Canis lupus familiaris: one gene and its partners. The protein of the gene in region 1 binds, or shares a complex with, the protein of each later gene. Links are inferred from orthologs where the notes say so. Each region holds a gene or a part of one and is shown on either strand. Other genes may lie near its edges.

Region 1 (7,596 bases):
CTCGAACATGCATAATGTTACATGCCAATTATATTTCAATTAAGAAGACAAGACCGAGATGAAGTGGTATGGTGCATGAATATAAACAAAGGTGCCAGGAAATGAGTAGGAATTTAACTGTCAGTATTGTGCGATTCAGTTCAGACAAAGAGGACTCGCAAGGACTGTGGCTGCACCTTAGGGCTTCAGGCTCTGCTATGGAGGATACAGTGCTTCTGGAGGCAATCTACAGGCTGATGCCAAAAGCACAGGCTGAGGAAAGCAGGGTGTCATCATGACTGCTTCACATAACTGTCAGTGGGCAAGTGTCAGAAGGACCATCCAGAATCACAATTTTACTGTCATACTGACGAGAAAAGAAATGATAGAAAAACGACATGCTGTTTCTGGTCAGTGTGTTTACGTGGGCTGCTCCCTGTTTTGGTTAAAAGGCTGCTACGAAATCGGTTATATCCCTTATGACTCCATTTGCAGCACCTCAGAATGATGAAGGCATGTATTAAATCGGAGGTGAACTATTTGAGTGGCGTTTTGTGTTATACTGACACTCCTGTATGACCAGACGTAACCTGAGCAACAAATAGATGGCTTTACACTGTATCAGACGACAAGGGGAGGGAAAGGGCTGGGAAAGAGTGGCCACTGGATTGGAGGCTCTGGGTCAAGACTCACGGCAGTGTTCAGGTGCTAAACATGCCCAAGGTATATAGCCAAGTGTGTAGACATGACCAGAGGTGCCACTAGAAATGCCCAGTGCCTGGGACCATGAAACAAAAAAGCCAGAAAATAAAAGGTTGGATAGAGAGGAATTCAGGCAGGACCCCTCAGACGCCCCAAGGCCTGGGGACCCACTGAAGGTCACAGAGCTGTCACCGGGTGGACTGAGGCTCTGGACTAGCCTTGAGAGGGCGTTCTCTCCTCACGCATGCTGTCTCCCGGATGAGACAGAAAGGGCCGTGTGTTCCCTGCTAGCCCACCGGCTAAGCAGACAGCACCTGGCATAGGGCAGCTCCGAGCCATGGAGGAAGGATGGAGCAGACCAGTGCACCTGGCTGTGGATGCCCAAACGTCTCCTGCTAAAACCCTTGCCCCTTTCCCAGAGATGCCCTACTGGGTCTGGCTGGGCCCAGATGAGTAGCATCTGCCTGGGGATGCATCACAGAGCTAAGGCCAAGTACAGCTGGCTCCATCAGGGATCCATGCAAGGATTCAAAGAGGACATACACTCACCAATTTTTTGTCCATCTTTGCTTTGATGTCTCTGGCGAGAGTGAAAAATGCCTGTGGAACAAGCATGTCATTATGTCATTAGTGCCCCTGGAGCAGGGAGCAGATAGGGGCTTGTTAGTTCCGGGCTGCCCCTGTGTAGGAGACATGGTGGGGTTGGGGGTAGGGGTGGCCAGAGTTAGGGTAGCTCCCTGGGTGTGGGTGTCACCTGTCCAGCCCCATCTCCTGCCACTACTGGGGTACTCCTGCCAACCTGGATAGCCACCTCCCTTGAACCAATGACCTGGGATGTGGGGACTCTGTCCTTAACTGAACAGAGAGGAAACTTTGGTTCAAAGCAGTCGGTGACTTGTCTGAAGGCAGTCAGTGTCTAACTGTCAGAGCTGGAAGGATCCAGTAGGAGGACCTAGCTCCCCATCCCGGACTCCCGGGCTCTGTCCACTTCAGCCCCTGCTTCTGATGGTCAGGAACGGAGCAGAAACAAAGACAAGCCGTTCTTAGTCAAACAAGCTTCATTTGGGGCCCCTGTTGGCAGGGAGGCCTAGAAGGGGCGGTACCAGGTGAAAAGTTATCTCCTCATGCTTGACGAAGGCTCGCCCAGGCCCCTCTTGGGGCCACGTGATGTGGAAAGTTCTGCTGTGGCGGGTGACTTGGGGGTGCTAGGGAAGCCCAAAGCAGGGGGGCATATGGGTCTAGGAGACAGGAGACACTTTCCTGGGGAGGGCCCACCTGGGCTGGCTCCCAAGGGTAAAGGGGGTACGAGGAAGGTGCTGCACAGGCAGCCTGGGATAGAGAGCGGTGGGCAAGGCCCAAGCAAGCTGTGGGTGGCACACACTGGCTGGGGCTGGTAAGGAAGGACCTTTTCTGCCAGGCGTATTGGGTTGAGCTTGGGAGCAACATGGAAGATCCATTTTAGAAAGATTACTGGGGCAGTGGGATGGAGGCTTGCAGGTTAACTGCAAGGCTGGCATCGCCATGGCGAAGAGAGTGGCCTGGGCCAAGGCTCAGCCAGGGTTCCTGACTCCATCTAGGCAAGCGCCTGGGGCCTGTCTGTGAGGGTGGTGTGTCCAAGAGAACAAACTTAGAGCCAGACCTGGGCACCAGTCAGCTGGGCCTGTCTGAGCCTCAGTTTCTCTACCTACGAAACTGTGCCTGCTCCCCAGCATTGCCCAAAAGCCACTGAGCTAATACTAATACCCTAGGTGGCCAGCCAGAGTCTGCACCTGCTGATGTCACAACATGGCAGCGAGTGATTCCCCTGGGGGGCCTGGCATGTGGCACTGCCCAGAAAGTGTCTCCCGGCCAGCTGGCTGATAAGGCAGCCCGGAGCCTGAGGCAGACCCTCCCCAGGGGGTACAGCCTGTCCCTCAGCCCAGAGGGTCTGTGCTGCAGGCCCAGGACTCACGTTCTCCACATTGATGTTGGCCTTCGCACTGGTCTCCATGAACTTGATTCCATAGTCCAGGGCCAGCTGTGAGGAAGGGAGACACACACATGCACACCGGCCACCAGGCACTCACCCCCAAGCCCAACAAACCACCCTGAGTGGGTAGAAATGAAGTGTGGGGGGGTGTCTCAGGCTGTGGATCTGACCTCCTGGGCTGCTCCCACAAGTCCCCAGTGGAGAGCAGGTGGTGGATGTCCCTGGCAGGAGGATGGGGGGGCCTGGCTCAAACCACGGCTGTGTCATCTGCTCCCAGTGGTCTCAACACGTTCCCACCAGACACCATACAGGAGCAGAAGGACACCCTAGAAGCCCCTGTGCTTGCCGTCTTTAGACTGAAGCCCAGCTGGGTGAGTGCTTTCCACTCTCCCTTCCCAAGGAAAGCACCAGAATGGTGCAACCAATGTGTCCTGGTTTGCTTGGCAAAGTCCTGAGTCTCAGACCCCTGAAGTCTTGTACAAGCCAGGATGGCGGGTCACTGTATGCTCATAAAGACTGTGAAGGGGTCTCCCCCAAAGCCCACTTCACCAGCAGCAATCGGGAACCCTCCATGCAGAGAACCCTAAAATCCCAAGGTCCCTTTGCCATGCGGCACCAGGTCCAAACCAGTTGCCACACTCACCTTTTCTCCCCGTTCCTTGGAAACTTGTCTTTTGTCGTTCACATCACACTTGTTTCCGAGTATCATCTTTTCGACATCTGCAGAAGCATGCTGACAGGGAGAGGGGACGGGAGGTGAGGGACTACAGGCCAACATGCAGTTTGTCCCGAAATCAGCATGGTGGGCGAAGACCGCAAGCATACCCTTGTACAGGTGACAAGCTGAGGCTCAGAGGGGCTGAGTGGCCTGTCCCACATCACACAGCTAACACAAGAGCAGGGTCTAGGTTCTAATACCCTGAGCAACCACATGCCTTCTGGCTGCTGATGACAGCTTCTCTATGGGCTGTGTCACCCAGGCTCCAAGGTCATCCCTGGACTCCTGGCAGGGACTAGCCTATGGGAGGCAAGCAGGGCTGGGCTATTTAGCCCTGTTCACCTCCCTCCCTTTGTGGCTCTTCTGCCGGAGGACCCTCTGCCTCCCCACCCCCCAGCTCGCTCTGTTTGGGCTCTGGAAGTGGGCCATGCCTGTCTGGGGTGCCCCCACCCCCACCCCCCTACTGCAGCCAGTCCTGGGTGCTTCCCTATCCCTTGGCACTCCCACCACTGCCCCCGGGGCCTGAACAGGGCTCCTCCTCCAACCCTTTCTCCAGAGGAGGGGCCTGTGCTTCCTGAAGGACCAGAGTGTGAGAGCTTCCTAGTGTAGCTTAGATCTGGTCTTAGTGAAATACCCTGTACTGCTCCCAGCCTAACTTCCTGTTATCTGCAAGACCCCCTTCTTCCACAAAGATCCAACATGAGCGGTCCTTGTCCTCAGCCAGGGCCCAGCCTCTTAACCAGCAAATACAGGGGTGTCAGGAGGAGGCCTGATGCCACTGCTCACAGATGCCAGCAGTGATATGACCTTTGGCCACGGCTTTATGGATGGGTGAAGTCCTCTGGCTGCATCTCAGACCTGAAGCCCCACCTAATGAGTCATCAAGAGCCTCAAGTGCCATTGTCCAAGAAGGCTTTGCAGGTGACAGCAAGCTCTATGCAAAGCTGAAGGGCAAGGGCACTGGTTGTGGGATGGGAAGGTAGGGATAGCTGCCTTCTTTTCCCTCCTTGGTTCCAGGTCTTCTTTCCCAGCCAGGTGTAGCTGTAGAGCTGCTGCCCAAACATGGTTAGCTCAAACCAGCTCATGCCCTGCTCTGTTGAAACTCAGTACAATCTGAAATGCCATCTCACAATATCCACCAAATGCAAGGGTCATGCCTATTCTAGAACCTTCCTTTTCTAGAAAGCACCAAATGCTGATGGCAATCAAGAGCTCAGATATCCCTTCTTTCCTGAGACACTGCCCAAACCCAATAGCCTGCTGGGGAAATGGGCTCTCAGGGCCACCCTATAAGGCCAGGCCCTTGTATGGACTCCAGGGTCAGCCGCCTGGGTTCCAGTCTCCATTCTGGTTATGTTCTTAGCTACGGGGCTCTTGGCAAGTGACTTCTAGTGGTCTCTGTGCCTCAGTGATCTCGTCTGTGAACTAGGCAGCTCTGGGGTGGGGACTGAGGAGACGGCACGTATGAAGCTCCTAGGCATGTGAGGAGCAGCAGGCCTTACCTCCTCAATGTTCCGAATCCAGTTCCGGATATTGTCAAAGGATTTCTCGTTGGTGATGTCATAGACCAGCATGATGCCCTAAGGGAGAGAGACATGCACGCCGGATGAGCTGTGAGCTGAGGGGGAGGCCCCCAGCAAGGTGGGATGGCCGGGACCAGCACCAACAGAACACACCCCCCACTACCTCCCTCCACTCCACCCCTGGGGCCCTTCCTTCTGCTGAACTGCAGCACCAGCTCCTCCCCAGGCTCTAGTCCTGCCTACTTAGCCACTAAGGTCCTTCACCTTACAGACCAGATCCCACCATATTCATGCTTACAGATGAGCCCTATAGGCTCCTCAGTGCCAGCAGGATAAGACTGGCCCATGCCCTGGCAGCCCTCAAGGCCCTGCCGACCTCCTAGCGTCATGTCCCACAGCTCCCTGCCCTGCATGCTGTGTTCCATGGCCCCAGCACCCACTGGGATCCCCCTTACACCCACCCTCTACTGTGCTCAGCCTCCTCCACACCCTCCCTCACCCCGCCATGCCAGAGTTTCGTCTGGGCACTCCAGCATGACCTCTCATCTGGCACCTACTATGGGCCAGGTACTGCAGTAGGGTCTCACTGAAGCTACATAGGTGCTGGTCAGATGGGTGCCAAGGTCCCCACTCTGCAGATGGAGACCCTGAAGTGGAGGGATGGCTAGGCCCACTTGTCCCATGGGAGAGCCAAGGGCACAAATGGGGGCTGAAACCTTGATGGCCTGATCTTGACACCCTTGTGCATTCTAGTGACTCCATCTAAGTGGGGGCCAGCTTGGAGCATGGGGCTGGGCAGCACTGAGGTCCCTGAGGTTCCACAGCTAATGCACGAACACCCAGGAGATAGTCCAGGGGTCTCGAGAAAGAGCGGCAGAATGAACCCACTTCCACCTTGGCCCATGATCTTACCACCATCAAGAAGGGCCAACATCCTGTTCGATACAAGGGAAGCTGAGGCACACAGAAGTGGCCTTTAAGATTGAAGCCCGGACAAGACTAACTCTGAAGAAGCTGATCACACCAGCTTCAGTTAGGAACCTCCCTGGGTCCTCATCAGGACCAAGCAATGCTGAGGGCCACCTTTGAGGCCCATGGCCCCAGCTATCCTGCCCTAGCCTGGTTTACTGCATTCCCTCATGCCACCCCCTCCAAGGGCCCAGCCATGCACCCATGACCTCTGGTGCTGGCTAAGATGTGTCTGAGGCTGCCTGAGTCTGCAGAGTAAGAACACAGGCTGTGGGTGCCAGGAGAGCAGGGTGCGTGATGATCATGAGGAGGATGTGTGACAAAACCTCAAAGACAGGGCAAGAGAACCACCAGATCCCGCATCTCAGCCAGGAACCTGAGGAGACACATGGCAGCCTCATAGCTTGCCACAACCACGGCCATAGCCAGGACCCATCAAGATGCTATCTGAGGGCCCTTTCCCAGGGCTCTCTTGGGGGGACTGAAGAGAGGCCACTTGCAGGATAACTCAAAGGAGCTTTCAGCAGCCACACTGTCTACCATCCCCTAGCCAAGGCCAGCTTGAGTAGGAGACCCTGGCATGCCATTAATCAAGCATCATGGAGGCCTCTGCCCAGTAGCTGCCCTCTGGCCATGAGGGGCAAGAAATGCCACAGGGTCCTGAGGCCTTTCCATTCATTTACCCAGGGACTGGCCCTCTGGTGGCCCAGGACTCTGGCTACCACCAGCAAGTTGATACCCCATGCCCAAGATTCCAAGGTCCCAGATATTCACCAACCAAGGGGTATAGGCAGTAGGTAAAGCTCTACCAGGAAAGAGAAGTATCTAGAAAACACAGGATCACCCTATTCTAGGTCCTCCTGGAAACTCTCCTTGGAGCCTCAATGGACCATTCTCCCAGACTGCATTGCACACAGCACCCTCATTGGGTTGTAAACTCACGATGGGACAACAAACATCAAATGTTGCCCAAGTTTGGGACCCAAGAGTCTAGTACTGTGCAGGGAAAGAACAATGGCTTCCAGGGTGGCACTGTTCTCTGAGCTGTCCTGTGAGGTTACCACTGGCCACACGTGGCTCTAGGGTAGCTAAAATGCAACTAGTGCTCCTGAGGAGTTGGACTTCTCTTTTAATCAATTTAAATTCAAAGAGCCACATGTGGTTGCTGGGTTATATATGGGTTAGCAGAGATCTAGGACTGTAAGCCACAAACTCCTACGGCTGGACAGGGCCATACAGATGGCTCAGCCCAGGGTCACCAGGGGCTGGCTGAGGATGTGGGCAATGGAGGCAGCCAATCAGTAGTGGCCCAGCCTTCTACCCTCTGCGTGAATTTAAGCAGGGCACGGAACTGAGCTGAGCCTCAGGTTCCCCATCTATAAAATGGGGATAACCGTAGCACCTATGCTCAGGGATTAATGGCCAAGACCTGGGCCCCAGCAGCTGGCCCAGGAAGGGGCTCAGTGAATGGAGCAATAGGTGGCTATTTCAGGCCAGACAGGGATGCGGCCCACCTGAGGCCACAAAGAAGAATCTCCCCTAGGACCCCAGATCCCCAAGGCCCCTGCCCCACCAAAGCACAGCAAGGTGAGAGGAAAATTGGTAAATAAATTTTAATGAGGAGGGCTAAGGTTGCAACCCATGTGACTGAGTTTCTATTATATTTCAGAAGCTGTGTAGGATACACTAAATACTTAATTACTCCATTCATTTCTGCTGTCCACCAGTATTTCCTG
Region 2 (7,596 bases), on another chromosome or scaffold:
CAGACTGAGGTGTGCAGTCGGGCATCCTCTCCCTCGACCCCAGCTTCCCCAGGACCCCAGGGCCAGGCCAAGGAGGGCCCTGGGACAGGCCTCTGACCTAAGCTAGATCCCACCCCTCAACCCCCTACCCTGCCCCTGGAGGGCAGGAGAGCTCCGTCAACCCCATGCCAGGTATACCAAAGCTCCACTCTCTGCAGGCCCTCCAAACACACCCCCTACTTTACTGGGGCCCTTGGACTTCGTCACTCCTTCCCAACTGAACGAGTCCACTCTCTCCTCCACTTGGCTAGCAAGTCCTCAGGCAAGGTCATGCTAGCAGGGGCTTTTGCTTGAATCCCTTCGGATCCTCCAACCAGCTCTTTGCCTTGCCTCTCCCCTTCTCTGCACTACAGCCAGGGGCTCCTTCAAAAGCTCCCATCTAGCCCATCATCTTTCCCTGCCATTTTCCTACTGCCCAGGAAACCATTATGGAGACTCTGGAGCAGAGGAAGGTTAAGGAGGCTCCTGGCTGCAGGACTTATCAGTGCCTTGCTGTCTCCAGGTTCACTGGGACTCTGATTGGATTCAGCAGCCCTCTTTTCAGGAAACATCTATTGATGATTTTGTGAAATGCTGGCCTAATGGGTCAAACCCCAAACCCCATTCAAGGCCCTTGACACTCTGGCCCCAAACAGCCTCTGCAGCCTCAGCCCTATCTCCCCACCCACCCTACTGCTCTGCCCACAAATCCAGTGATGTTTCCATTAATACCCCGGCTTTTCAAACCTTCATTCATTTTTTTCCCTCTGCCTGAAAGGCCCTTGCCTACTTGGCAAACTCCGATCCATCCTTCAAAACCCAGCTCAAATGTTCCCCTCTGTGACAAGTCTCCCCAGTGGGGCATCCCTGGCAGGTCAAATCCTGGGCTGCCGAAGGAAAGTGCTCCCCATCTCTGCCCTTGCTTCCACCCTGGCTATTTTGTTCTGCTGTGAGTCCTGCTCGATGGCAGCTGAATGGCAGGAAGGACAAGATGCCAGGGCTGTTTGGTTATTTATTAGCACAAGGGGAGCTGGCAGCTGACATCACTTACACATCAGTCAGAGCCCAGAACCCACTGTGGGAGAGAGATGCCTGTCAGGCCAGCCAAGAAGAGGGAGGCTCCAGTTCCCGGGCTCCCCGGAAGGCCTGAGGATCTATGACTAGAGGCAGGAATTTCTGCCAGAGATGCCTCCCCACCCTGCATGCCTCTGCAATCCTCCCCAGCCAGGCCTGTGCGCCCCCTCACCCACGGGGGACCCACACCAGGAAGCTCAGTCCTCAGCCACACTCCCTGCAAGATCAGGACCCCAGGAGGCAGGCCTGAGGTTCAGTCACCAGCCACACCCCCTGCAGGACCCACACCAGGACCCTAGGAGGCAGGCCTGAGGCTCAGTCCCCAGCCACACCCCCTGCAGGACCCACACCAGGACCCTAGGAGGCAGGCCTGAGGCTCAGTCCCCAGCTGGCAGAGCACCAGGCTAGGTGTGGCGGGCAGGAAAGGAGGAAGGACGCCAAGCTCACTTGGTGCTGCCACACTCGACTGCAGCCACCTTCACTGCAGGCAGTGTCTGCGAGGCCACGGGCTCGATGGTGAGCGTGTTGTCCTCCACGGCGGCCCGTACCAGTGCTGAGAGCTGCGGCAGAGCAGGGCAGCAGGTGGGTCAGTGAGGGGCTGGCCTCCGTGAGAGGCTGGGCCTGGGGCCAGCTGCCCTCTGCCTCACCTCCTGCATCGTGAAGTCCAGGCAGGGGCCCACGTCCTCCCGGTACACCCTCTCAAGGAAGGGGCAGGTCTTGTCCAGGGTGGGTGACTCCCTCCAGGCCTGGAACTCTGCGAATAGGGTTGTGTCCACCTGTGGGGGAGGGTGAGCCTGATGGGGCAGTCAGACGCCGGGTCGGGGGGCAGGGGGGCAGCATGGCAGGGATAGGCAGAACTGAACGAGGTGAGGGGCCAGGAGGGTTGCAGGGCAGGCCCCAGCCTGCCAGCGGGTCTGTCCCCAGTGGCTAAGCAGGGGGGCAGAGTTCCCAAGAAGAACTACTTCCTTCCCTCTGCACTGAAGGCCTCAGAACTCAAGCTTTCATATCTAGGTGTGCTTTTAGCTTCTCGGCTCTATGAGGTTACAGACTTTGGTCCAGGGCCTCGTCCCTAACAACCTCTCTGCCTCCTGGAGGAGGAAAAGCTGAAGACCGGCCCTGCAGGTACCCCCCACACGCAGGTACCATGGCACACACAGGCCCACGCACATAGAAGGAACACACACGGGCTGCCTCCCTGGGGACAGATGACTAGCTGGTTGCCCTGGGGCATGTGCAGCGAGAATGAGGCTGGGCAGGGGCAGAGGGGCGGCCCCTCTCCAGAGCCATTACCTGTTGGGAAAAGGAGAGAGAGGTAGCAGAGGAGGGGGCCGTAGGTGGCTCCCCAGGCAGGAGCTGCCAGGCCGGCTCATAGGTGAGTTGAACAGCTTTGCTGGGGACCACGCAGAGGAGCAGGGAGAGGAAGGGGGGCAGCCCAGGCTGGGGGGAGGGGCAGACAAAGAGAGACAGACGGACAGATGCACAGAGACAGAACAGACAGTAGGGAGGAGATGTTAGTGTCCAGTTAGAAGCTGAGGACTCAGAAGTGGGGGAGAGGCCTAGCCCGCGCTTTCTCCCTGGAAGCCCCAGAGACACGGGGCAGCATGGAGATGGGGGCCGCCTTGCTTCACAGGAGCCTGGGTCCCCCTGCAGCCCTGGTGGGGTTCACTGGGTGCAGCCCTGAGCTGAGCAACCAGCACCCCGGTCTTGTGGGTCTGCATGGCCCCAGGAGGCGCTACTTATGTGAGGAAGCTGAGGCTCTGGCAGGTGCCTTTACTTGCCCAAAGACCTACGGCCAAGGACATCAGAGCCCACTGCCCGCCTGGACCAAGTACCCCATGTACCCAGCTCAGAGGCAGGGAGGGAGACAGCCCCAAAAGTCTGTGCTTGTCCAGGTACCACAGCCAGAGGCACTGAGGACCTTCAAATCCAGGGATGTCACAAGCTGGTCCTGGACCTCAGGGCTATGGGCATGCAGGGCCCAAGCAGCTTGTCCCCAGAGGCCCAGCAGTGGCCTCTTTAGGCTCAGAGAATATGTCTTCCTGAAGAACTCTCCCCATCCCCCTCACCTAGGCCAGGCCCCCAGGCCCCAGGCCAGTCTCGGGTGCACAGAGTACCACCTACTACTGGAGGGTTGTGGAGGGGTTACCAGGCCCTCATGGCACACAGGAGGGGTACACACGGTACATTCATAGGCTGAGGGCCAAACCTCCTATCACAAAAAACCTGCGCAGCCCTCCCAGACAGGGGACACAGAGACCCAGAGATGGCAGGCCAGGCTCCAGGTCACACAGCGAGGGGTCAGGACTCCCCACTGGGCCCCCCTGCCTGGCTGACACTGAGACCGTGTCTCCCTTTCCTGCCACCCCTCACCTCTTTGCCCTCCTTGTCCGGGGTGAGGGGATGTCCGGCAGTGGGGCACATGGCGGGGCAAAGGGCGCTGCTGGTGCTCTTATGTCGCAAGTGGCCCTTGCGGGGTCCAGCCTTGGTGGGGCTCAGCAGCTGTGGGTGCAGCTCGCGATTGGGAGAGGCTGGTGTGGATGTGAGGACCAGGGTCTTCAAGGCGGTCACCTCCGCCTGCAGCATGTCGATCTGGCCGGGATGAGATGGCTGTCAAGGCCTAATGCGGGCCTGGCTGCCAACCTCCAGCCACCCCAGCTCAGGATAACCTGTCCCAGCAGTGACTGGCATGTAACCCGGCCTGTCATCCTTGGAACAGCATGAGACCTCCGCTTTAGAGAGGGCAAGGGAGGCTCGGAGAGCGACTGTGGCCTGCCCGAGGTCACACAGTATGCCAGGGCTCTGTTGGAGGCACCTGTCCAGGAGGTGGCTGGGCCTCCCACCGAGGGGCCCAGGAGCCAGGAACTACCCAGCCCTCACATTTGACAGACGTACAAACAGACTCTGAAAAGAGGAAGAACTTCCCTGCCCCGGCTCACGTGGCCAGACAAGGTTTTTGCTTTGTAAGGAGAGTAAGGCAGGCAGGAAAGAGACTGTAAGGACTACAGGATCCGCCCCGCCCTAGTAAGCCCCAGAAAGGTCTCTGTGCGCTGGAAATACTGCCCGAGTGCTGGGGAGTTGGATTTCAGCTGTAGCATCTCAGACCCCCGCTTCACTTTCCTAGGCCGCAGGGTCTGCCCATCCCCACTGCCCCACAACCCTGGGACACGCGGGGGTGCGAGGGTCCGATCAGGTAGCCAAAGCTGACTCGAGGGGAGCTCTGGCTGGGCCGGAGTGGTGGGGACCTCACCTTGCCCCGCGCCTCCTTCAGCTGCTTTTCTGACGCTGCCTGCTTCATGTTGGCTTCCCGCACCATTCTGTGGGCTTCCTGGGAAGCAGGGAGGCTCTGCGTGAGTGATGAGGCGCCAGCGCACCCCACAGACCTGCTCCCCAACCTGTCCCCCAGCCAGCAGGCCTGTACCTCAAACAGGCTGGCCGTCAGCTCCTCCAGCTCCTGTTCCAGCTGCTCCCGCACCTTGGACAGCCGCTCACACTCCTCGTCCTTCAGCTGCAGCTCCTGGGGGTTCGGGGAGAGTGGCTGTCAGCCCCCTGGGGCTCTAGGCCCCCTGACCAGGCTCCACCACGGGGTCCTCTTCCTTGGCCCTGGGCCCCAACCCCCTTCCTCTGTCGCCCTGCAGTTGACGACGCAGTTCCCACTTAGCTTGCGGCATGATGTTGCAACCCCAGCTGCCTAGAAGGGGCTTTCGGAGAAGTCAAGACTCCTAAAAAATCCTCCAGAGTCACAAGCACTGGTTTCTCCTCTGTGCTCCCTCAGGCCCAGCCCCAGCGTCTGTGCAGGCAGGTGGCCCTGACGGGAGCCTCCAGGTAGGCCCCGAGCCCTACCACCCCCAGAGCCCCACCTTCTGGGCTTTGTGCAGCTCCTCCTTCAGGAACTCTGAGCCCTTCTCACGGATCTCCATGGAAGAGCTTCGCAGGCGCAACACGTCCAGCTGCGCAGCCGTGGGGCTGTCCTCACCTTGGGCCTCCTCCCCAGCAGGGCTCTCTGCCGGGCCTCCGGGGGACTCCCTGCAGCCCTTCCAGGAGACCGGGACGGTTTCAAGGGGCGGCGGGTGGCCCTCGTCTGGGTGGGGCTGGCTGTGAGGCAAAAAGCAGACACAGGCTGGGGTTCGGAGCCCCAGCGCTGAGCCCAGGACCGGCCCTGAGGACCACGCCTGCCACTGAGGCTGCCCTGGGCCCCTCTGTGAAACAGCAACCCTACCCGCGAGGCTGCCACTGGCTTGTCACCAGGGCGGGATGAGCCAACACAGGGTCTCCTTGGGGCAGGGACAGGACTCCTTCATCTGTGCCAACCCCCTCTAGGGCCGGGATCGGCACGCAGCCAGTGCTCAGTCTGTGTTGGTCCACAGATGACGAAATGCGTTGGCTCTCCATTTCTGCAAGGCGGGGGACCATTGCCACGGCTCCACCTCGAGGGTCACCAAGCGGATCTGACGTGCACAAAGCCCCGGCACAGGGGATCCCTGGGTGGCGCAGCGGTTTAGCGCCTGCCTTTGGCCCAGGGCGCGATCCTGGAGACCCGGGATCGAATCCCACGTCGGGCTCCCGGGGCATGGAGCCTGCTTCTCCCTCTGCCTGTGTCTCTGCCTCTATCCATCTATCTATGTATCTATTTATCTATCATAAATAAATAAATAAAATAAAATAAAATAAATTAAAAAAAAAAAAACCCCGGCACACACAAGGCTCATAAAGGAACTGCCTTCTAGGCTATTGTTAATGCAGATTTGATGCAAATCCTACCCCACTCAGGGTGGGCAGGAGGGGAGGGAGGACGCAGCCAGGGCCAGGAGATGGGGCAGGAAGATTCTGTCAAACAGCCCGGACGGGGCCCACTGCCTTCCTGTGCCCTGAACCTGGCGGGGCGCGGTCCTGGCCCTCCACGGGTGGCGCTCGCCGGTTGGCCTCATGACCTCAAACACCCCCCTCTGGGCCTCAGGACCCTCCGCTCCCTGAAGCGGGAGACCCTAGGGGTGGTGCCCCGGCCAGCAGCCTCTGTCCCCGCCTCCCCCCCCCACTGTCCATCCACACACCCCCACACCCACCCCCCCCTTTGCAACAGACCCTGCCGAGGGAGGGAGGCAGGAAGGGAGAGGGCTCAGCCAACAGTGGTTTGTGCCAAGACAGCACCTCTGGACTTGCTCACTCAGCAAAAGCTGGTGGCTCCTGAGCCAGCAGCTTTGGAGCCATTGTGGCTATGCGGAGGGTGAGGGTGAGGGTGAGGGGCTGGGTGGGGGGTGGGGGGGAGTGGAGGGGGCTCAGGGGGGGCCCATATAGTGGGAAGGAAAGACAAGGCCAAGGGGTCACGGGACTCAGGCTTTCTCAGGGAAAAGTGTGAAAAGCAAGACCAGAGAGCAGTCCCCCCTGTCACCAGGACCCTGAGACAGTCACCAAGCTGCCCCTAAGCCTCAGTCTCCCTCCCAGGGAACACAAAGGGACTGGGTGCCCAGGGACCCCAGCAATGAGTCCACTTCCAACCTTTCATGTAGCTCTGTCCCTACACCCAGCCCAGCCTGCTCTCTGCTCTGGAAAGGGCCCAGACTGTGGCCTCATGGTTCCTTGGCTGGGTCCTGACCGGCAGGGATCCAGGGCTCTGACAGATGACGTGGGGAAACACATCTATTTCTCCATCTACAGTGTCTATCCAGACAGGGATGCTTCCTAACACCTTCGTGTGTGTGTGGTGGGAGGGGGAGAGGGTCCTCCCTTGGCAAGTGGCTCCTGAGGCTCAAGGAGGGGCTGCGGCAGTGCTACAGTGGCCCTAGACTGGGGTCATCACCCAGTGGACTCACATTGTGCCAGGTGCCGCCTGGCTGCTCTGCTCATGTCCTTCATTTACAGCTCTTGATGTCATTCATGGGACTGTCCCCGTCCTACAGATGAGGGACAGAGTGTCTGAGAGGTGCAAAACTTGTCTAGGCAGCCAGGGCTTCGGTCTAGACCCAAAGCATCCCCCGCCTGGTAGGTGGGGGCTGAGGATGGAATCAGCGCATCTGTCTCCAGATCAAGAGTTGCTGGTCCCAGGCAGACTCGGGAGACTCTTCCTTGGCTGCAGCAGGGAAATCTGACCCAATTCTGGCCCGACTGACTTCTCAGCTTCTGCTCAGGCCCAGAAACTGCCTCCCAGGAGGGCGGGCCAGGCTGGGGGAGCTGTGGCTGAGAGCAGAGGCCAGAGGCAGACGAGGCCAGGTCCACACTGGGCTCTGAGCTGGGTACTTACACACCAGCCCTATGAATGGCACTACAGTTCTCTGAAGCTGCTTCCCACCTGTGGGATGGGAGTAAAAATCTGGAGGAGGAGCTCCTGTGTGGCTCAGATGGCTGAGAGTCTGCCTTGGGCTCAGGTCATGATCTCCAAGTCCTGGGATCCAGCACTGCATCACATCAGGCTCCCAGCTCAGCAGGGGACCAGGGCTGATCCCTCAGGTGAGAGAGGACAGATGGCCCTAGTTGCTCAGGTTTGATAGGGACAGCGGACTCCAACTCAGG
Region 3 (7,596 bases), on another chromosome or scaffold:
GAGCCTCTGCCTTCGGCCCAGGGCATGATCCCAGAGTCCCAGGATTGAGCCCCACATCGGGCTCCCTGCATGGAGCCTGCTTCTCCCTCTGCCTGTGTCTCTCCCTCTGCCATTCTCTCTCTCTCTGTGTCTCTCATGAATAAATAAAATCTTTAAAAAAAATCTTCATTGTTTTAACTCATGTGGTTTAGGGTATTACATAACAATAGGCCATGGAAAAGGGGGTTTATTGGTAACAAATAATGTATTAATATTATTACTGTAATATATAAATAATAATATAAAATAATAAGAGCTCAGTCTTTGCCAAGGAGAGAGAAGGATGAATCGTGCTCTCTGACTCTCATATCTCAAGAGGTGTCAGTCTGCTGGGCTGCCATAACAAAATACCATAGACTGGGTGATTTGTTTATTTATTTAAGATTTTATTTATTTATTTGAGAAAGAGGACAGTGGGAGACAGAGCACGAGTGAAGGGGGAGGGGCTATGGGAGAGGGAGAAGCCGACTTCCCGCTGAGCAGGGAGCCCTGACGGACTTGGACTCAGACTTGAGCTGGATCCCAGGACCCTGGGATCACAAAATTGAGCCCAAGGCAGATGCTCAACTGACTGGAGCCACCCAGGCACCCAGACTAGGCAGTTTAAACAATAGAATTTTTTTCTCTCACAATTCTGGAGGCCAGAAGTCCAAGATCAGGGTGCCAGCATGGTTAGTTCTGACTCTTCGTGGCTTCTTGTACACAGCAGAGAGAGCAAGCCCTCAGACATCTCCACTTACAGGGGCTTTAACCCAACCATGGGGGCCTTGCCCTAATGACCTCATCTAAACTCCTGGGGATGGGGTTGGCTCTATAGGTTAAGCATCTGCCTTCAGCTCAGGTCATGATCCTGGGGTCCTGGGATTGAGCCCCATGTCGGGCTCCCAGCTCTGCGGCGAGCCTACTTCTCCCTCTCCATCTGCCCGTCCCTCTGCTTGTGCTCAGTCTATCTGTCAAGTAAATAAATTTTTAAAAAAAATTATCTCCCAAAGTCCCCATCTCTAAATACCATTAGACTGGAACTTAGGGCTTCAACATCTGAATTCTGGGGGACACAATCCAATCTGTAGGAAGGGGGAAGCACCACAGGTATAAAGTAGCAAGCAGGTGCCACAGCAAAACACCTAAGTGGATACACAAGCTATACCAGGTCAGGCATTGAAATATTGCATTGTAGTCAGGCTTCCTTTGGTTGCAAGTGACAGAAATTCAGTTCAAACTAGCTTAAGTACAAAAAGGAATTTGTTAACCCACATACCTGGGAAGGATTTTGGATTTTGGGGCTGTTTTCAGAAATAAAAAACTGCAGTCAAGGCCTCAGGGTTGGAGAAGCCAGAGACTTGTTGCCTCTTTCTTTCCTCCTTGCGTCCGCTTTGTTGGCCTCATTATCTTGTGTTGTAGACACACCTTCTGGGAGTCTTATGAAATGTGGTTGCTGGCAATGCCAGTTGAACAAATGAGAAAGAACATCTTTCTTCCAGCTTCTATACATCAAATCCATGGAAATAAGTCTAGTTCTCTTTAAGTCAACTGACCTCAATATCTTATCAATCAATATCAGTTTAACTCTACATACCATCTGACTTACTATACTTTTAAAGTTTCACTTAATTTATTTGTTTATTGATTGCTTCCTTCCCCGTTGGAAAAATAGAAATCACATGATAGGAGATAATTTTGTCTGTTTTGTTCACTGCTATACTGTCACGTGCTATGTATTATTTCACTAATGATGATTATCTCATTAATCACTCAGTCCTAGGAGGCAGTTACTCTTATTATCCTCATTTGATTTATTAGAAAATCAAGGCCTAAGTTAGAGAATTGAAACATGGTCATATTCCTAAAAAGTGGAGAAGCTTGGGTTACTAGCCAGTGCAGTTAGACAAGAGAAAGTAAGAAGAGGTATCAATATTGGAAAGGTGGCAGGGGGAGATTCTTGTTATTAAGAGCAGAATCTCTCTGACTCTAGCTATCAGTGATATTATTAATGTAATAATGATTATTAAGACCCTTCACTTTCAGAGCTTCACAGACAGAAGGTCTGAAATAAAACATCCCATTTATTCCCTTTTCCCCAGTGGTCTGATTCCTCCAAGAGAAGGCCTGGGAGGAAGAAGACAAAAAGACACCCTTGTCTCCAGGACCAGCAATGCCAGCAGTAACAAGGAGGAGAAGACAATCATAAGGAAGCTGTAAGTTACTTGCTGCCCCATTGCCACTAAATCATTGTTGAAGGATGGAGTGGAGGCCCAAGGAGGCTGGCTAGCTACCCAAGGTGGGAAGGCTCTACAATCCTGATTGGTCATGCTGCCACTGTTAGGAAAATCTGAGCTGGACTATTATGAGATCTGTTGGGCAGCAGTCGTCGTCGTCTTCTTCTTCTTCTTCTTCTTCTTCTTCTTCTTCTTCTTCTTCTTCTTCTTCTTCTAAGGTTTTATTTATTTCTTTATTCATGAGAGACAGAGAGAGGCAGAGACACAGGCAGAGGGAGAAGCAGGCTCCATGCAGGGAGCCCAACGCGGGACTTGATCCCGGGACTCCAGAACCACGCCCTGGGCCAAAGGCAGGCACTAAACCGCTGAGCCACCCAGGGATCCCAGAAATCTTCTTTTTTTTTTTTAATTTTATTTATTTATTCATGAGAGACATAGAGAAAGAGGGAGAGACATAGACAGAAGGAGAAGCAGGCTCCATGCAGGGAGCCCGATGTGGGACTTGATCCCAGGACCTCAGGATCACAACCTGAGCCAAAGGCAGACACTCAACCACTGAGCCACCCAGGTGCCCCTGTTAGGCAGCAGTCTAAGCACTTGACATATATTAATTCATTGACTTTTCATAGTGACCCTGTGAGGTAGGAGCTACCATCATCTCCATTCTATAGGTGGAGAAATAGGTACCAAGAGGCAAAGTAATTTGCCTGAGGTCACCCAGATAGTGAATAGTGAAGTCAGGACTTGAACCTACTACTCCAACAACAAGAAAAATAACAATAAGGGATCCCTGGGTGGCGCAGCGGTTTAGCGCCTGCCTTTGGCCCAGGGCACGATCCTGGAGACCCGGGATCGAATCCCATGTCGGGCTCCCGGTGCATGGAGCCTGCTTCTCCCTCTGCCTGTGTCTCTGCCTCTCTCTCTTTCTCTCTCTCTGTGTGTGACTATCATAAATAAATAAATATTAAAAAAAAAAAGAAAAATAACAATAATTACTAGAGTTTATGGTCCCATAAACTGGCTGGCTCAGTTGGAGAAGCTTGTGACTCTTGGTCTTGGGGTCATGAGTTCAAGCCCCTCATTGAGTGTGGAGATTACTTAAAAAAAGGATGGGGGGGATCCCTGGGTGGCGCAGCGGTTTGGCGCCTGCCTTTGGCCCAGGGTGCGATCCTGGAGACCCGGGATCGAATCCCACATCGGGCTCCCGGTGCATGGAGCCTGCTTCTCCCTCTGCCTGTGTCTCTGCCTCATTCTCTCTCTCTCTCTGTGACTATCACAAATAAATAAAAATTAAAAAAAAAAAAAAAAAAAAGGATGGGGGTGGGCTGATTCATTACCTCTCTTACCTCCAACTTCAGAGGACCCTATGTCTCCCATCATTGGGACACAACAGTTTCCTTTGATTACCCCCCTTGTGTTTATGCTGCCTTGTTAATCCCTCATTTCTTTGGGTGCTAAGGCCCAAACCAGAGAATGTGGGGTTACTTGTTTAAATTCAGATTCCCAGAGCAACCTGGGTGGCTCAGTGGTTTAAACGTCACTTTCAGTCCAGGGCCTGATTCTGGAGACCCAGGATCAAGTCCCATGTCAGGCTCCCTGCATGGAGCCTGTTTCTCCCTCTGCCTGTGTCTCTGCCTCTCTCTCTCTCTCTCTCTCTCTCTCTGTGTGTCTCTCATGAATAAATAAATAAAATCTTTAAAATAAATAAATAAATAAATAAATAAATAAATAAATAAATAAATAAATAAATGCAGATTCCCAAACAATAAATAAATAAAATAAAATAAAGTAAAATTCAGATTCTCAGAAGTCAGGTCTACAATGAAGCCAAAAAAATCTGGATTTCTTTTTTTTTTTTTTTTAAGATTTTATTTATTTATTTGAGGGAAAGAAATCGTGAGAGAGCATAAGTTGGGGGAGGGGCAGAGGGAGCAGGAGAAGCAAACTCCCCACTGACCAGGGAGCCCAACTCAGGCTGAGGTGCCAGGACCCTGAGATCATGACCTGAGCCAAAGCAGACACTTAACTGACTGAACCACCCAGGCACTCCAAAATCTGGATTTCTAATAAATTCCTCAGGCAACTCTGATGTGGAGAAGCCTTGGACTACACTTTGAAAGATGCCTTCTCAGCCTCCAGGTGTCATACAATGAGGCATGCCTTTCCCCCACCCCTCCATGAGGCAAACACCGTTTGCCTTTGCTGCTCCAAGAATGTCTGGCCTGGTGACAGTTACCAGCCCCTGACCTCTTGGACAGAGCTGAGAAACCACCTCAGTCAGGATCTCAAATACCTTTGGGGGCCAGGCACTTAATATGGGTGAGTGATGAGGGATAGAGGGGCGGACATTTGCCAGGGTCCTGGCAAGAAACAAATAGTGCATTTAAAAGGAGTGATGTGGGGATCCCTGGGTGGCACAGCGGTTTAAGCACCTGCCTTTGGCCCAGGGCGTGATCCTGGAGACGCGGGATCAAATCCCACGTCGGGCTCCCAGTGCATGGAGCCTGCTTCTCCCTCTGCCTGTGTCTCTGCCTCTCTCTCTCTCTCACTGTGTACCTATCATAAATAAAATAATAAAAATAAAATAAAATTTAAAAAATAAAAATAAAAAAATAAAAGGAGTGATGTGGCCAGCCCGTGTGGCTCAATGGTTTAATGCCGCTTTCAGCCCAGGGTGTGATCCTGGAGACCCGGGATCAAGCCCCACGTGGGGCTGGCTCCCTGCGTGGAGCCTGCTTCTCCTTCTGCCTGTGTCTCTGCCTCTCTCTCTCTGTGTGTGTCCCTCATGAATAAATAAAATATTTTAAAAATAAAAATAAAAAAAAATAAAAGGAGTGATGTGTAACTCAGTCGGTTATGCATCTGCTTTCAGCTCAGGTCATGATCTCGAGGTCCTGAGATCAAGTCCTGTGCTCGCTTTGGCAGCACATATACTGAGATCAAGTCCTTCATCGGGCTCCCTGCTGAGCAGGGAGCCTGTTTCTCTTTTCTCCCTCCTCTCCTTCCCTGTGGCCATGCTCTCTCTCTCTCTCCCCCAAATAAGTAAATAAATAAATAAAATCTTTTTTTTTAAAGATTTTATTTATTTATTCATGAGAAACAGAGAGAGGCAAAGACAGGCAGAGGGAGAAGCAGGCTCCCTGCAGGGAGCCCGATGCAGGACTTGACCCCAGGGATCACACCCTGATCTGACAGCAGATGCTCAACCACTGAACCACCCAGGTGTCCCTTAAATAAATAAAATCTTTAAAAAATAAAAATTAAAAAAAGGAGTTAATAAAAAGATTTAAAGAAGGAACATCTTACAGACACGTGAGCAGGGTTAAGGGAACCATCAAGGGATACAGAAGCACTCCAGCATGGCGGTGTGGGCCCAGGGAGCTGTGAGGCAAAGGGAGGTGGGGGGGGGGGGGGTCCATAGAAGGACATAGCAACTAGTAAGACCAGGCCTGGTGGGGAAGGAGCTGGGGCATAAATACACCTCCCCTCCCTATCTTCCCAGCACCTGCTGGCACCTCCCATTGGCTTGCTGCTCTCATCCACTGAGCTCAGCCTCTCCTGAGTAGACAAGGGGACAGAGAAAGGATGAGATGAATCTGAGGGGCACACAGCCCACTTAATATGCACATACATAGTTCAGTTAAGGGTTACCAGACTTTCTGGAATGCCTGCATGGAAAACTGCTCTGTCAAACAAGACTACATGAAACCAAAATAATTCATCCCTCCACCAAATATTTACTGGGGGCCTGCCATGTGCCAGGCATTGTTCTAAGTCCTGGGGATGCAGTGAACAAGATGAAGCCCTTGCCTTCATGGTGCTTACACTCTAGCAGGGGAGTCAAAGAGTGTGCAGGTAAGGAAGTATATTAACACTTCATCTTCAGCTATCCATTAAATAGGCAGTGGAGAGAGAAGTTGACAGGGGTAAGTCCTGGAAGGCTTCTGTGAGGAGGTGACAGTCAAGCTGGGCCCTGAAAGATCATAAAGATCTGAGGGAAGAGCATTCCTGGTGGAGGGAACAGGCAAGAGGCCTGAGATCAGTCAAAGCAGGGGGCAGGGGGTCCCAGTGAAGACCTTGAGTTTCACTCTGAACACTTTGGGAAGACACTGGAGGGTTTTAGGTTGGAGAGTGACATGACCATATTTACATGTAAAAGCTCCCTCTGTTTTGTGGAGGAGGTGTGGGGGGACAAGTCAGAGCATGGCCTGGGGGAGTGTTTCTTTCACAAGGAAGGTTCCCCTGAGGTAAAGTAAGAAGGAAAGAGCATCTCTATGCCACACCAGGTGGGGCACTTGGAGACATTTGTTCAGCACTTCTATTGGCTGGGCATCCCATTGTAAATAAGGCTTCCAGGAGATGTAAGCTACTGGTTTCTCTGCCTCCTCGAGGAGAGTTCTTTGGGCCCCTTAGAGTTTGGGCTTGATGTGGCAAAAAATAAAATGTTTGTTCTGTGCACAAGCCAGCCTGAGGTCTTGTGTCTAATGAGCACAAGGCCATAATTTCATGGTCAGACAAGCTTATTAAGCTAATTGAATGAATGAATGAATGAGTGAATGAACGAATGAACAATCTTCTGAAGAAGCAGGTCATGCTAGAAGGATTTTCTTTATCCTGAGGGCAGTGGGGAGCCATGAAGTGTTTTAAGCTGAGGAATGATGTAGCTCTCTGTAGTGATACGGTCGTTCTGGCCATGGTGTGAGTGGATTGTAGGGGTGGCGGGAAGGCTGTTGTGTTCATCACAGTGACTTGGACTGGGGGGTGGCAGTGGAGGAAATGAAAAGTGTTAGGATTAGGAACAGATTTGGGGTGTGATGACTAAAATGTAGCAGATGGTGGGGAGGAGCTGAGAACAACCCCCGGGTTCCTGGCATGAATGACTAGGCAGGGGATGATGTCACTTCCTGAGACAGGGAACTGGTGGGTGAAGGCAGTATGCAGAGGTTCATGGGAGGATGGCTGAGCCCTCATGCCTATATACAAACACGAGTCAGGGGCCCACCACAGCCATTGCCAGCAGAGCTGCCAACCCGTGCTCTGCTGGGGCAGGGAGTTGTCTTCAACAAGAAGCACAAGCCCAGTCCCCATCACTGGCTTTACAACCCACCAGCCAGCTCTGGGACTTTCTCATAGCTGGAACTAGCACTGAGATTGAACGTTGTGATCAACCCCAGATAGCTTTCTCTCTTTTCAAAACTTTGTATACGATGGGGAGAAACACTGAACATTGGGTGTTCATGTCTCAGGAGATTTATAGGTTTTATCCAAGAATTTACATGCCAATCTTTATTCATCGCAAAGATGCATTTTATAGTTGTAGGTAACAGGGATGCTCCTTCAC

What was found. Proteins that work in one complex are often made in the same cells at the same time.
Region 2: the proteins of RAB8A (region 1) and RAB3IL1 are in contact, whole or in part, in a crystal structure (PDB 4LI0), measured with the Homo sapiens proteins. The link is inferred for Canis lupus familiaris from reciprocal best matches to the Homo sapiens genes RAB8A and RAB3IL1. Residues at the interface, in NP_005361.2 of Homo sapiens: Lys10, Phe33, Ser35, Phe37, Ile43, Asp44, Phe45, Lys46, Ile47, Gln60, Trp62, Thr72, Ile73, Thr75, Ala76, Tyr77, Arg79; in NP_037533.2 of Homo sapiens: Arg104, Glu108, Leu111, Glu112, Thr115, Ala116, Phe119, Glu120, Ala122, His123, Arg127.
Region 3: the proteins of RAB8A (region 1) and RILPL2 are in contact, whole or in part, in a crystal structure (PDB 6SQ2), measured with the Homo sapiens proteins. The link is inferred for Canis lupus familiaris from reciprocal best matches to the Homo sapiens genes RAB8A and RILPL2. Residues at the interface, in NP_005361.2 of Homo sapiens: Ile41, Gly42, Ile43, Asp44, Phe45, Lys46, Ile47, Lys58, Trp62, Phe70, Ile73, Tyr77; in NP_659495.1 of Homo sapiens: Leu135, Leu138, Arg139, Leu142, Gln143, Arg145, Asn146, Lys149, Ser150, Leu153, Glu157.

The regions. Positions count from the first base shown.
Region 1 is NC_049241.1:46,747,732-46,755,327, forward strand, and holds part of RAB8A (ras-related protein Rab-8A), read right to left. Parts: intron 4,949-7,596; coding exon 4,871-4,948; intron 3,384-4,870; coding exon 3,294-3,383; intron 2,699-3,293; coding exon 2,633-2,698; intron 1,282-2,632; coding exon 1,231-1,281; intron 1-1,230. UniProt on the Homo sapiens protein: The small GTPases Rab are key regulators of intracellular membrane trafficking, from the formation of transport vesicles to their fusion with membranes.
Region 2 is NC_049239.1:55,117,492-55,125,087, reverse strand, and holds part of RAB3IL1 (guanine nucleotide exchange factor for Rab-3A), read right to left. Parts: intron 6,981-7,596; exon of another isoform or gene 6,962-6,980; coding exon of another isoform or gene 6,900-6,961; intron 5,634-6,899; exon of another isoform or gene 5,503-5,633; coding exon of another isoform or gene 5,309-5,502; intron 5,185-5,308; coding exon 4,950-5,184; intron 4,607-4,949; coding exon 4,511-4,606; intron 4,418-4,510; coding exon 4,340-4,417; intron 3,682-4,339; coding exon 3,463-3,681; intron 2,530-3,462; coding exon 2,383-2,529; intron 1,869-2,382; coding exon 1,740-1,868; intron 1,653-1,739; coding exon 1,540-1,652; intron 1-1,539. UniProt on the Homo sapiens protein: Guanine nucleotide exchange factor (GEF) which may activate RAB3A, a GTPase that regulates synaptic vesicle exocytosis. Promotes the exchange of GDP to GTP, converting inactive GDP-bound Rab proteins into their active GTP-bound form.
Region 3 is NC_049247.1:6,386,653-6,394,248, forward strand, and holds part of RILPL2 (RILP-like protein 2), read left to right. Parts: exon of another isoform or gene 1-51; intron 52-2,120; coding exon 2,121-2,234; intron 2,235-7,596. UniProt on the Homo sapiens protein: Involved in cell shape and neuronal morphogenesis, positively regulating the establishment and maintenance of dendritic spines. Plays a role in cellular protein transport, including protein transport away from primary cilia.